Linked DNA regions of Schizosaccharomyces pombe. The protein of the gene in region 1 interacts with the protein of each later gene in a pairwise test. Each region holds a gene or a part of one and is shown in the gene's direction. Other genes may lie near its edges.

Region 1 (5,793 bases):
TATAAAGTCGAGCGAGAGGAAGACCAAACCCGAAGCCCTATGCATGTTTGTTAGTATTATATATTTCAACGATCAATAATAAAATGTTTCACTTACAGCCATAGGAGTAGTAGAATTTGCGCTAACGATATCGTGAGGATCATCTGTCAATGTAGGAGAGGCAGTTGTAAACATGTATGACCAAACTAAAGGGATATTTCGACGGGATATACCGCCTCCTTCATCAGAGATTTTGATGGTTATATCCTCTTGTCCTTTTGCAACAATGACCTTTATGGGAGGAAAGAAATCACTGTCTACACCATGAAATTCTACGGTTGCACGAAGACTGTTTTTGAGAATTTCAAAGACTGCGTGATTTAAATGGGACTCTACATACATCATTTCAAGTGAAGGATCGCAAATAATTTGAATCTCAGGTGCTTCAAACAATCCGTACGCAAGCCTGCAAATGTACTTGGCATTTTCAGCAGCACCTTCTATTATTTGATAAATATTTGCACGTGTACTTATCACACCAACGTAATTCTCACGCGGCGGTTCAGAGACAAGTGCTATATATTGACCTAACAGCATTCGAATTCCAATACGAGACATGTAAAACCTATCCAAAAATATTTGAATACTGTTGTCAATTTGGTTAGTCTTCCTTCGGTATTCTTGTATGTCCAAAGCAATTTCGACTGCAACGTTATCGTGTCTAGTTCGAATGGTATTTAAAAGGTATGCAAAATTACTATTAAATTTTAACAAAGATTCGGGCCAATTACAATCAACGCCATTATCTTGGTCAGAAAAATCTGTTTCAAAATAGCGACCTTTTGAAGAGTCTAAATGAGTATTTGCAAGCGAGGGATTATGAAGAATTTCAGAGTCCATTAAACTTGACCTCCATTTCGGGGCATTGTGATATCGAGCGTGCTTTGGAAGACATTTCGGTAGTTCCACTCCTTTCAGTTCAATAATTTCCTTCAACCAGTTAGCTTTGTTTGATTTCTGGTTATGTTTCGACAAGTATCGAACATGCAAATATACACATTTGACCTACCTCCATAGATCTACCGTAAGCAGCCTTTACGGAAGATATACGCTTCATACTTCGTAGCATCGGTGAAAGATTCTGCAGGTCTTGGATGCGCCGAGCCAAGCGAATGGGCAATTCATCTCGCAAAAACAAGCCAGCCCGGAAAAGTGTTCCTGGTGTAGGGTTCTTGCCTTCATAATAAAAATTAAGCAGTCAGTATAAAATTTCTAGTATGAAGTAATCTAAGAAAAATTAACTGAGCAAAAATTCTTACCAAAATACACTAATTGCTTTAAAGACAACCCTGTTTGAGGATATTGAGCCAAGAGATTGACTTTCTCCTGTAAAGTTTTCCCGAGCACTGACATTTCTTTTAAACCTTAAGTTTTTCTTTAAATTCGATAATGATAAATAGAACAATTGTTCAATCGTAAACTTTGTTGGTTTGTCTAACAAATAGATGATAACCCATGGACGAGCATAAAAAAAGCGGCAATTTGCAAAATATAACCTAAAGAAAGTAAAAGATGAGCTTCAGAAACAAACAAATAAAGCAGTTTCTTAATGTTTTCACACAGAATCTAAGAAAGCTTTTGCTAAACTAATGCATTCATATGTTTGCAAAGTACCCATAAAAATAATGAACTTGAGTGTATTCCATTAAAATTGAAATGCGTGATACATTATACTTCTTTTGCATTGCTTATTTTATTTTTCACAATACTGCTAGCTACACAGTTTGTTATCTAATTTAAGGATACGTAGAACTGCGGTGAGTTTTCCTTGTGGTCTATTATATTACAATACACAGGTCGTATGAGTAGCAACTGAGTATAGGTATTGTATTAACTAGGTTATAAAATGTTACCTATCACTAATATAGCTTATAACTGAACCTCGTTCCTCAGTTCAGTTAAAACTCTATTTATAATATTTCTAAATAGTTGCTATCAACGGGTATCTATGTATATAGACGGATAGTTACCCGTGATGATCAATAGACGGATCTTAATTAGTATTCCAACATATGACATATAGTGATATGTAACGTAGTGTAGTATTGCTGACAAATACGCGGTCATTAGGTTACTTAACGATACACATAATACTGCAATGCTTGTAGTTACTTGTTGATATACCAACCATAAATAAGAGGAAGAGTATGGTAGATCCACCTTCAAGATAAACATATTTGATCATTGCTATATCCTGCTTGTCAAATATTTTCTTAATACTCAACGGTTAGGAATATTCAAAAAAATTTAATGTTGTCCAACGATTTTGCGCTATTATATTTTTGCGATAAAGAAACATGTGCTACATTGAAATAATTTAAGGTAAATATGTGATACGTAGCAAACTGGAAAAAACAATAAAATGAATATTTGGTTTGACTATTAGTGTGTTTAAGAAACTGTTCTTTTAAAAGTTAAAACTACTTTAAATATAAAATATAATTTTGGTCACTTTCTGCTGCACTCGACATTTACCTCAATTTCCCATCCACCCTGTTTCGTCGCAAGTTGTTACAGTTACTACAAACCTCCATTACCACGCTTTCTGACAATTGTCAGGGTTTTGGCGAATATTTAGAAAATGGTTGTTTTAAAAGGAGGTTTGTAACTTTTTTTATTGTATTTTCTAACATAATTTAGGTGCCTGGAAAAATACAGAGGTAAAGACTATGATTTTAACCTTCTACCACGCGCAATGTTTTTGTTACTAACTTATTGGTAAACAGGATGAAATCTTAAAGGTATTTTTTTATTTATTAGTTACATATTTCCTTTAATATTTAGAATACTAACGCAAATTCCTAGGCTGCTGTCAGTAAATACGGTAAAAACCAATGGGCCCGCATAAGTTCATTGCTGGTTCGCAAAACTCCTAAACAATGTAAAGCTCGTTGGTATGAATGGATCGATCCAAGCATTAAAAAGGTATGTTAAACATGTAATCACTATTTGTTATTTGACAAGACCTATTGTTAACATTTCCTTCACATTTAGACTGAATGGAGTCGTGAAGAGGACGAAAAATTATTACACTTAGCTAAGTTACTTCCTACACAGTGGCGGACGATTGCTCCAATTGTAGGTCGGACGGCCACTCAATGTTTAGAACGCTATCAAAAACTTCTTGATGATTTGGAAGCGAAAGAGAACGAGCAGTTGGGATTGATCAGTGGAGAAGGTGCAGAAGCAGCTGCGCCTGTTAACGATCCAAATTCCCGGCTTCGTTTTGGCGAAGCAGAGCCCAATTTAGAAACCCTACCTGCACTCCCTGATGCCATTGACATGGATGAAGACGAAAAAGAGATGTTGAGTGAAGCACGTGCACGTTTAGCAAACACACAAGGAAAGAAAGCCAAACGAAAGGATAGAGAAAAGCAGCTTGAATTAACTAGAAGATTGTCACATCTCCAAAAGCGAAGAGAATTGAAGGCAGCTGGAATCAAGTATGTGTTATTATTATTACTTTATTGTATTGTTTTTCCTTCATTATGTTAATCTATAACTTAGTATAAAGCTCTTCCGTCGAAAGAAGAATGAAATGGATTATAACGCTTCTATTCCATTTGAAAAAAAGCCAGCGATTGGTTTTTATGATACCTCAGAAGAGGACAGGCAAAATTTTCGGGAAAAGCGAGAAGCGGACCAGAAGATAATTGAAAATGGAATACGGAATAATGAAATGGAATCCGAAGGTCGAAAATTTGGTCATTTTGAAAAGCCAAAACCTATTGATAGAGTAAAAAAGCCCAACAAAGATGCCCAAGAAGAAAAAATGCGACGTCTTGCCGAGGCTGAGCAGATGAGCAAGAGGCGGAAGTTGAATTTACCTAGTCCTACTGTGTCTCAAGATGAACTGGATAAAGTAGTGAAACTAGGCTTTGCAGGCGATCGTGCTCGCGCTATGACTGATACGACTCCAGATGCTAATTACAGTACTAATTTGTTAGGAAAGTATACACAAATTGAACGAGCTACTCCATTGAGAACACCAATTAGTGGTGAACTTGAGGGAAGAGAGGATTCAGTTACAATTGAAGTTAGAAATCAATTGATGAGGAACCGCGAACAATCTTCTCTCTTGGGTCAGGAAAGTATACCTTTACAACCTGGTGGTACTGGTTACACAGGAGTTACTCCCAGTCATGCAGCTAATGGCTCAGCTTTGGCAGCACCTCAAGCAACTCCTTTTAGAACACCACGTGACACATTTTCTATTAATGCAGCTGCGGAGCGAGCAGGACGATTAGCAAGTGAAAGAGAAAATAAAATTCGATTGAAGGCTTTGCGAGAATTGCTTGCAAAACTACCTAAACCTAAAAACGACTATGAACTAATGGAGCCTCGATTTGCGGACGAAACTGATGTTGAAGCTACTGTTGGAGTGCTTGAAGAAGACGCAACAGACCGAGAACGTCGTATCCAAGAACGTATTGCAGAAAAAGAAAGGTTGGCAAAAGCGAGGAGGTCACAGGTTATTCAAAGAGATTTGATTCGACCATCTGTAACACAACCAGAAAAATGGAAGCGTTCACTTGAAAATGAAGATCCGACTGCAAATGTTTTATTGAAAGAAATGATTGCTTTGATTTCATCGGACGCCATTAATTATCCGTTTGGAAATTCAAAAGTGAAAGGAACGGCTAACAAAGTGCCTGATTTGTCAAATGAAGAAATTGAGAGGTGTAGATTGTTACTAAAGAAAGAGATAGGGCAACTAGAAAGTGACGATTATATCCAATTCGAGAAGGAATTTTTGGAAACGTACAGTGCACTTCACAACACCTCAAGTTTGTTGCCAGGCTTGGTAATCTACGAGGAAGACGATGAAGACGTTGAAGCCGCTGAAAAGTTTTATACGAACGACATTCAACGAGATTTAGCTAAGAAAGCATTGGAATGTAACAAGTTGGAAAATCGGGTTTATGATTTGGTTAGATCTTCATATGAGCAACGTAATTTTTTGATAAAGAAAATCTCGCATGCTTGGAAGGCTTTGCAAACAGAAAGGAAAAATTTAACGTGCTACGAATTTCTATACAATCAGGAGCGATTAGCTCTACCTAATAGGCTTGAAGCAGCTGAAATAGAGCTAAGCAAAATGCAACAAATCGAGGCGTATGCTCAACAAGATTATGCTAGGGTTACTGGACAAAATTAAACTTCACTTCACTTTGTTTTAAATAATTGTCATAGCTTATCATTCATAGTGTATATTATCATGCCTGAAATAAAACGAAAGTTTTATAAAAAGATAATCCAAGCTAGAGAAAAGTAGAAAAGGAATAAAGGGTATACTGCCAACAATTTTTTGTTGGATAGATTAGAATTTTGTAAAACACCCATAGCAGCGAACAATGTCCAGGCATACATTGCAACAATCACAGGTATGCGTATAAATATTAAGGGAACGAATGCACAAACTATAGAAGCAATCATTAAAGGGAAAGAGGAGTACCCCAATATACACATAGATTGAAAAATGCTAATGTTGGCCCCTAGTAATTTTATATTTAAAGAACAAACCGCTTCCCCAAACCATATGAGCGCGACAACGACTGTAAAAACAGATTCTCGTTCAATCTTGTCAGTAGACAAGGCAAGTGCTAAAGCAATTACGAGGGAAAAAATCAAAGGACCCCACAAGTCCCAGTCGCGTAGTACTTGAGCATTTTTGGGATACAAAACATAGACGAGTTTTTCACCAATAGCTCTAAATTCATTAAATAATGTAACACGAATGGGTTCGTCCAGAGA
Region 2 (5,660 bases), on another chromosome or scaffold:
ACAGTTGGTTTTCTAATATTTATCGCATACTTGGAAAAGTCACTTACAAATTTTTGAAGCTTGTGCAATATTTTATTATAAATATTTTTGACATACTAAGCCCGGCAGGTCCGGACTCACAACTTCCCCCAGAACCACCAACACTACAAGTAGATCGTACACCACAACAACCTGACCCTCAAGAAACGTCTGAGTCCTTGCCCTCGCCTAATACTGAAGAGATGGGTGAATCCTATAATGATATTCGTTTCACTTATGATTACATTGATGGAAGGTTTTTGGAGACTGCGTGTGTCACGCTTATTGTGGTAGTTGTCGGACTGGTTTTAATGAGACGCCATCAACAGCATCGACTTCAAGAACGACGTGAGCGAATCATCCGTAGACAAAACCGCGCTTAATAAAAATTGTATCTTCGATTTTTTTGCGTTCTAATTTAAAATTTTGTTGCTCGATGGATGCAGAATAAAAAATATATGTATGTTAGGGTTCGTCGGTGATTAAATCATGCTTTGAATAAATTTTGTTTTTCATCTTTCAATTGGTTGATCTATATTTGTTGTCTGTCAGCCAATTAATCGACTTTTGTTGTTTGAATGTTAAATATCTCCAGAAAAAATTTAGAACCAGAAGGTTCAAAATCAAGAAATTTCAAATTAATGAGACATGTTATTGTATAATGCTAATAATTATATAAATTAAAGTCATAAACTCAGCCTGGAACGATTCATTGTTACATGTAAAGAATTTCGATACCAGCTCGGCGCAATTTGTATGTAAACGATTAAGGTACCTCTGTACGTTCAATTAGTATACCCTTGATTTTGGTGTAAGCTAGCTAAACATATTTAAGTTCGTACTAAAGGTTTTCTAACTAGTACGAACGAAAATTTTTTTAACAATAGTAAGGAGTCCTTTACGATTTCCAATCACCATTTTCTTCATCAAAAGACATCAAATGAACAGGAACACCAAACTGATTTAGAAACATACTCATTGTAAATTCAGTTCGTACTTCCTGAATTTGCCCTTTATTTTCACCTTCTTCAATACGAAAGGACTGAGTAACACCTCCAGCCAAACGAATACGTTCAGCCATTGGTTTAAAAAGTACTTCAGCGGCTTGCTGAGCAGCATTTTTCCATTTCTGTATCAACGTTTGCAAGTCTTTATCTTCATTTTTGGCTTCAACCTTTCGTGCAGTTTCGGCGGTTATGAGCTGCTCTTGTAAATTTCTGACTTCTTTTTCAAGTTTTAAACGACGAGAAAGCAACTGTGTGATTTCAGGGTCGGACTTTGGATTAAGGCAATTAGAGATAGGTGACTTGAAAAGTCGTTTTTGCCGTTTTATTGAATTAGGCGTTGTTCTTAAGGGAGAAGTAACAGGTTCTGAAGAAGTGTTTGTTTCATCAGAGTTAAGATTTGTTACAGCTAACGATGGTTTTAGATTAGTGTCTGCAACTTGAGGACTGGCAGTTTGTCTTAAGGGGCTTTTGAACGGCTTAAGAAGTATATTTTTGGCTTCTCGAGCCCTTTTCTTTGAAAAAGGTGTAGTAATTGGTAAAGAAGTATGTATTTTTGTATCTCGCAGGTCCGGCGTCAAAGCCTTCTCATTCTCTGGATGTACTGTTTCTGACTGCTCGATAAAACCTAGGTTATCTGAGTGATTGCCACTGTTATTGCATTTAGGAGGGTTTTCTATTCCTAACTGACCCTGTGAGTCACGTAAATCACTTTCGCTTAGGGAAACTTTCAAATCTTCTTTACACTGTGAAGTAGCATTTTCATTGAGTTCAGAGTTAATTGTTTGCGACATTTTCAGTTAAATCGTTTTAAAGTACTAATTCGAAGATGAAAGAGTGAATGTTAAATTATAACAAAGATGCAATGAAGCGCGTAACTTTTGTCAACAAACGCGTTGAGTGTAATAGTTGAATGTTTAAACTCTAACTTCAAATAATTAAATGAATTGAATATTAATTGTTATAGAAATGAAGAAATACCACAAATTCCAGATAAACGTTGAAAACGTTTTACTAGCAGAAGGTGAAAATAACAGCAAGCAACAAGAACTTAGGTAGAAGAAGACTGAAGCACATGACTGGTGGTTCCAAAAAATTAAATGTTTATACAAATTACGATAGTAATAAACTAAAAGGTTTATTAATTTACAAATTTGTTTTTTAACCTTTTTTAAACCGCGTAGGCTTTGTTAGAAGGTAATCTGGGAATACCACCTAACTCTACTGACAATACTAGGAGAAAAGATTTTGGTACCTACAGAAGGTAATATTTAAGATAAATAGATATCTTAAAAATTCACTTGCAATTCTCGATGAGTAAAAAAGAACATTGAAGGAAAGGACATTAAAATTGCTGGAGGATTTTGTTTAAAGTATCAAATTCATGCCGTCTTCGTATAAAATTTAGAGAACCGGTTTAAATATTATTTCATTAACCAAGTTGACGAAGAAATTACTTAAATTTTGAAAACTTGCTACAATCGTCATTGAGAGATTCAAGAGTTCGTATTTTTTTTTTACAATTGCAGAACAATGTCTATTGACTTTGATTGGTCAAAGTTAGACTCAGAATTAGAAGCAAAAGTTTTACATCTTCTCGAAGGACAAGTTTCGAATTTGTCGCTACCATCTTATATAAAGCATTTAAAGGTTGTTGACTTCCATTTCGGCAAAGTCTCACCTCAGATTACTATTCAAGAAATCGGCGATCCTGATCCCCAATTTTATGAAAATGAAGCTTTCGAATTAGCTAACCAAGAACTAGAGGGTGATCAATGCTCCCGCAATAATGTTTCACCAGTGCTTACGGATCTTCCACCTTACGCTGCTGAACATCCATTTTCAAGACTAGCATATTTTAATCCCGCATTTAATTCACCCGGGATTCTATCTGCAAGTGGACTCACAAGCCCAATTCCTGAAAGTCGCCCAAGTACTCCAATGGATAATCATCAAGAAAGAGATCGTTCTAACGATTTCCAAGTTACTGCACACGTATCTTATGACGGAGACGCAAATCTAAGCCTGGAAGCGGTTCTATCGATGAATTACCCGAACTCTGAATTTGCAGTTCTTCCATTCAAACTTTCATTTATTAGGATTTCCATCGATGCCATTGCTGTTTTGGCTAAAATGGGAAAGCGGACGCATCTATGCTTCGTTGATACATTGCTGCACGGAACTGGAGAGCATGCATCAAGTGTTATTCGAGATTTAACAGTGGAAAGTATTATTGGAGAATCTAATAAACAGCTGCTAAAAAATGTTGCTAAAGTCGAGAAATTTGTATCGGAAAAAGTTAAACGTATTATTGAGGATGAACTTGTCTGGCCTAGCTATATAACCATTGAATAATTCTTTACAATTATCCTAAATATATAAAAAATTTCCTTTAATCTCCTACTTAAAGGTTTAGGGATTTAGAAAATATTTTTGTCTATACATTGAGCTCTCTCATCTACCTCAACTTACGTTAATGAAACCATTTTCTCCTTCTCAAACCAATTTTGAAAAGGAACAACTTTGCTTTGGTGTATATCAACTTAAGGATTGCTACCAGCAAGTAATTGAGGCACTCTCGCTTGGTATTCGCGTAATTGATTCAGCAATTACATATCGAAATGAAAAAGAATGTGAACAAGCCATTCAAGATTTCTGCCATCAAAATGTGAATATTAAACGTGAAGATATCACCTTAATAACTAAGATTCCTGACTCCTTACAAGGATTTGAACGTACCTGGAAAGCGGTCGAACAGTCTCTTCGCAGAACAGGTCGTCCAAAGTTAGACGTCGTGCTAATACATTCACCAAAGTGGCCCGTACGCCGTATTGAGTCTTGGCGAGCACTATTGCAGCATCAAAAAGAAGGAAGGATAAACAAAATTGGAGTTTCCAACTATAATATTCATCATTTGGAAGAAATTATCAGTCTTGGGTTGCCCCTTCCAGCTATTAATCAGGTCGAATTTTCTGCATTCAATAACAGGCCTACTTTTCTTTCTTACTGTTTTAATCACGGTATTTTAGTACAGGCTTTTTCACCGCTAACAAGAGGATATCGTCTTAGTGATATTCGACTCTTAGATTTATCCTTAAAGTACAATAAAACACCGGCGAATATTCTTCTTCGTTATTGCCTTCAGAAAGGGGTTTCACCAATATTCAAAGCTTCGTCGTTTGTTCATATCCATGAGAACGTGAAGGCTGAGCAATTCATGCTTGACCCATCAGATATGGATGTCATGGATACTTGGGATGAAGAATTCGTGAGTAAACCTACTTGGAATCCTATTATACTTCCTTGAAACATTATAAAAATGATTTTTTGTTAAACTTATATCTCATTGTATGTAGCTTATCATAAATTATGTCTTTGTAAAATATGTGGTATCTCCAAAGTGCTGAGCACTAACCAAATACCAACCACGAACGTCTAATGGAGAGGGCGGATTTTTTCTGGATTGCATAAAATGAGTTATAATATATCTTTGGATTCATTACCTTGTAAGTTTTTTTTTTATGTCTTCTAATCAAATTATTTAGACTTTGAATCTACTTATAACGAAGAAGATAGATCAGCAGCTGCTCAAATTGTTGAGGAGGAGCTAAAGAGATCTGGAGGTTTACTAATTAAACAAGAGGAACAGAAAAAGAAATTTCAATCCCATCGTTTATCAGATCGACTGGAAAATGCCATTGTTGCGGCTGGAAAGGGAGAAAAACTTGCAGCCATCGACGTTCAACGCTACATACAGCTAAAACCACCGGGAACCCGTGAAAGCCTGTTGCAGTCCGCTGTTGTATGGGAATATCAAAAATCTCGCAATGATAACCTTTATTTGCTAGAAAAGCATGGAGAAAAAGCATTTGATAGTTCGTTGGAGGCTTTAGAAGTTCAGCTAGAATTATTAGAAAAAGAGTTAGTAAACACCAAAAAACTTTCGCAAGGATGTAATCGTAAAAGGAAGCATTATCAAATGGAAGTGGGTGCCCGACTTGCTGAAGCTGAAGTAAAGTTTGGACAATTGCTGCAGAGCAGCATTCAGTGCCGTGTTGCTACTCTCTTGTCATAATATCAATTTGATTGAACGTAAATATTATCCCTAATGAATATCATAATCAGAGTTACATTCTTGCGTTAAGGTAATTCGATATAATCCAGGGTGACTAACTTAAGCTTCCTTAGCACTATGGACTTCTATGTAAATAATTAAACATGCCTCACATCAAAAAGACTCCCGGTTTTCGTTTAAGGTTAGGATTACTTTTGATAAGAGTATCCTAGTAAACAGTTAAATGTTAATACAATTACTACTATGCGCGTTATTATGGGCCAACCAAGTCGTCGATTTTTTAACTAAGTTACTTTTTGTCTAACCTCAGTAATACGTACTTTCTTGATTATATGCTATGGATCGTGATCAATAGCTATAAACACTTCGTCGCAGCTTCCTTGTTACTGAAATCTTATTATTACTTATACGTTTAACAGCTGAATGATTTCTCTTAATTTAAAGTTTTTCTCTTTACATTTTCGAATACTTTACAAAAATTTATCGCAAACTTTATAGGAAAAATTGTCGTTAGATGAACTATGACTATCTAGGAACCAATAGTTCTTTTTCATAAATGCATC

The links. The genes of interacting proteins can lie anywhere in the genome.
Region 2: the proteins of cdc5 (region 1) and cwf7 interact in binary tests that used the Schizosaccharomyces pombe proteins (3 or more experiments, as listed by UniProt).

What each region holds. Positions count from the first base shown.
Region 1 is NC_003424.3:2,692,138-2,697,930, forward strand, and holds cdc5 (splicing factor Cdc5), read left to right. Parts: upstream 1-2,561; 5' UTR 2,562-2,620; coding exon 2,621-2,639; exon of another isoform or gene 2,640-2,679; coding exon 2,680-2,699; exon of another isoform or gene 2,700-2,756; intron 2,757-2,765; coding exon 2,766-2,780; exon of another isoform or gene 2,781-2,844; coding exon 2,845-2,964; exon of another isoform or gene 2,965-3,033; coding exon 3,034-3,482; exon of another isoform or gene 3,483-3,546; coding exon 3,547-5,197; 3' UTR 5,198-5,280; downstream 5,281-5,793. Other genes in the region: [pyruvate dehydrogenase (acetyl-transferring)] kinase Pkp1, read right to left, coding at 1-37, 97-969, 1,049-1,215, 1,299-1,392; SPOM_SPAC644.13C (Rab GTPase-binding protein), read right to left, coding at 5,281-5,793. UniProt on the Schizosaccharomyces pombe protein: Involved in mRNA splicing and cell cycle control.
Region 2 is NC_003423.3:1,576,844-1,582,503, reverse strand, and holds cwf7 (Prp19 complex subunit Cwf7), read left to right. Parts: upstream 1-4,434; 5' UTR 4,435-4,494; coding exon 4,495-4,528; intron 4,529-4,567; coding exon 4,568-5,097; downstream 5,098-5,660. Other genes in the region: hrd3 (HRD ubiquitin ligase complex subunit), read left to right, coding at 1-401; DNA recombination mediator Sfr1, read right to left, coding at 917-1,816; ERMES complex subunit, membrane tether and lipid transfer protein Mdm12, read left to right, coding at 2,556-3,377; SPOM_SPBC28F2.05C (xylose and arabinose reductase), read left to right, coding at 3,499-4,329. UniProt on the Schizosaccharomyces pombe protein: Involved in mRNA splicing.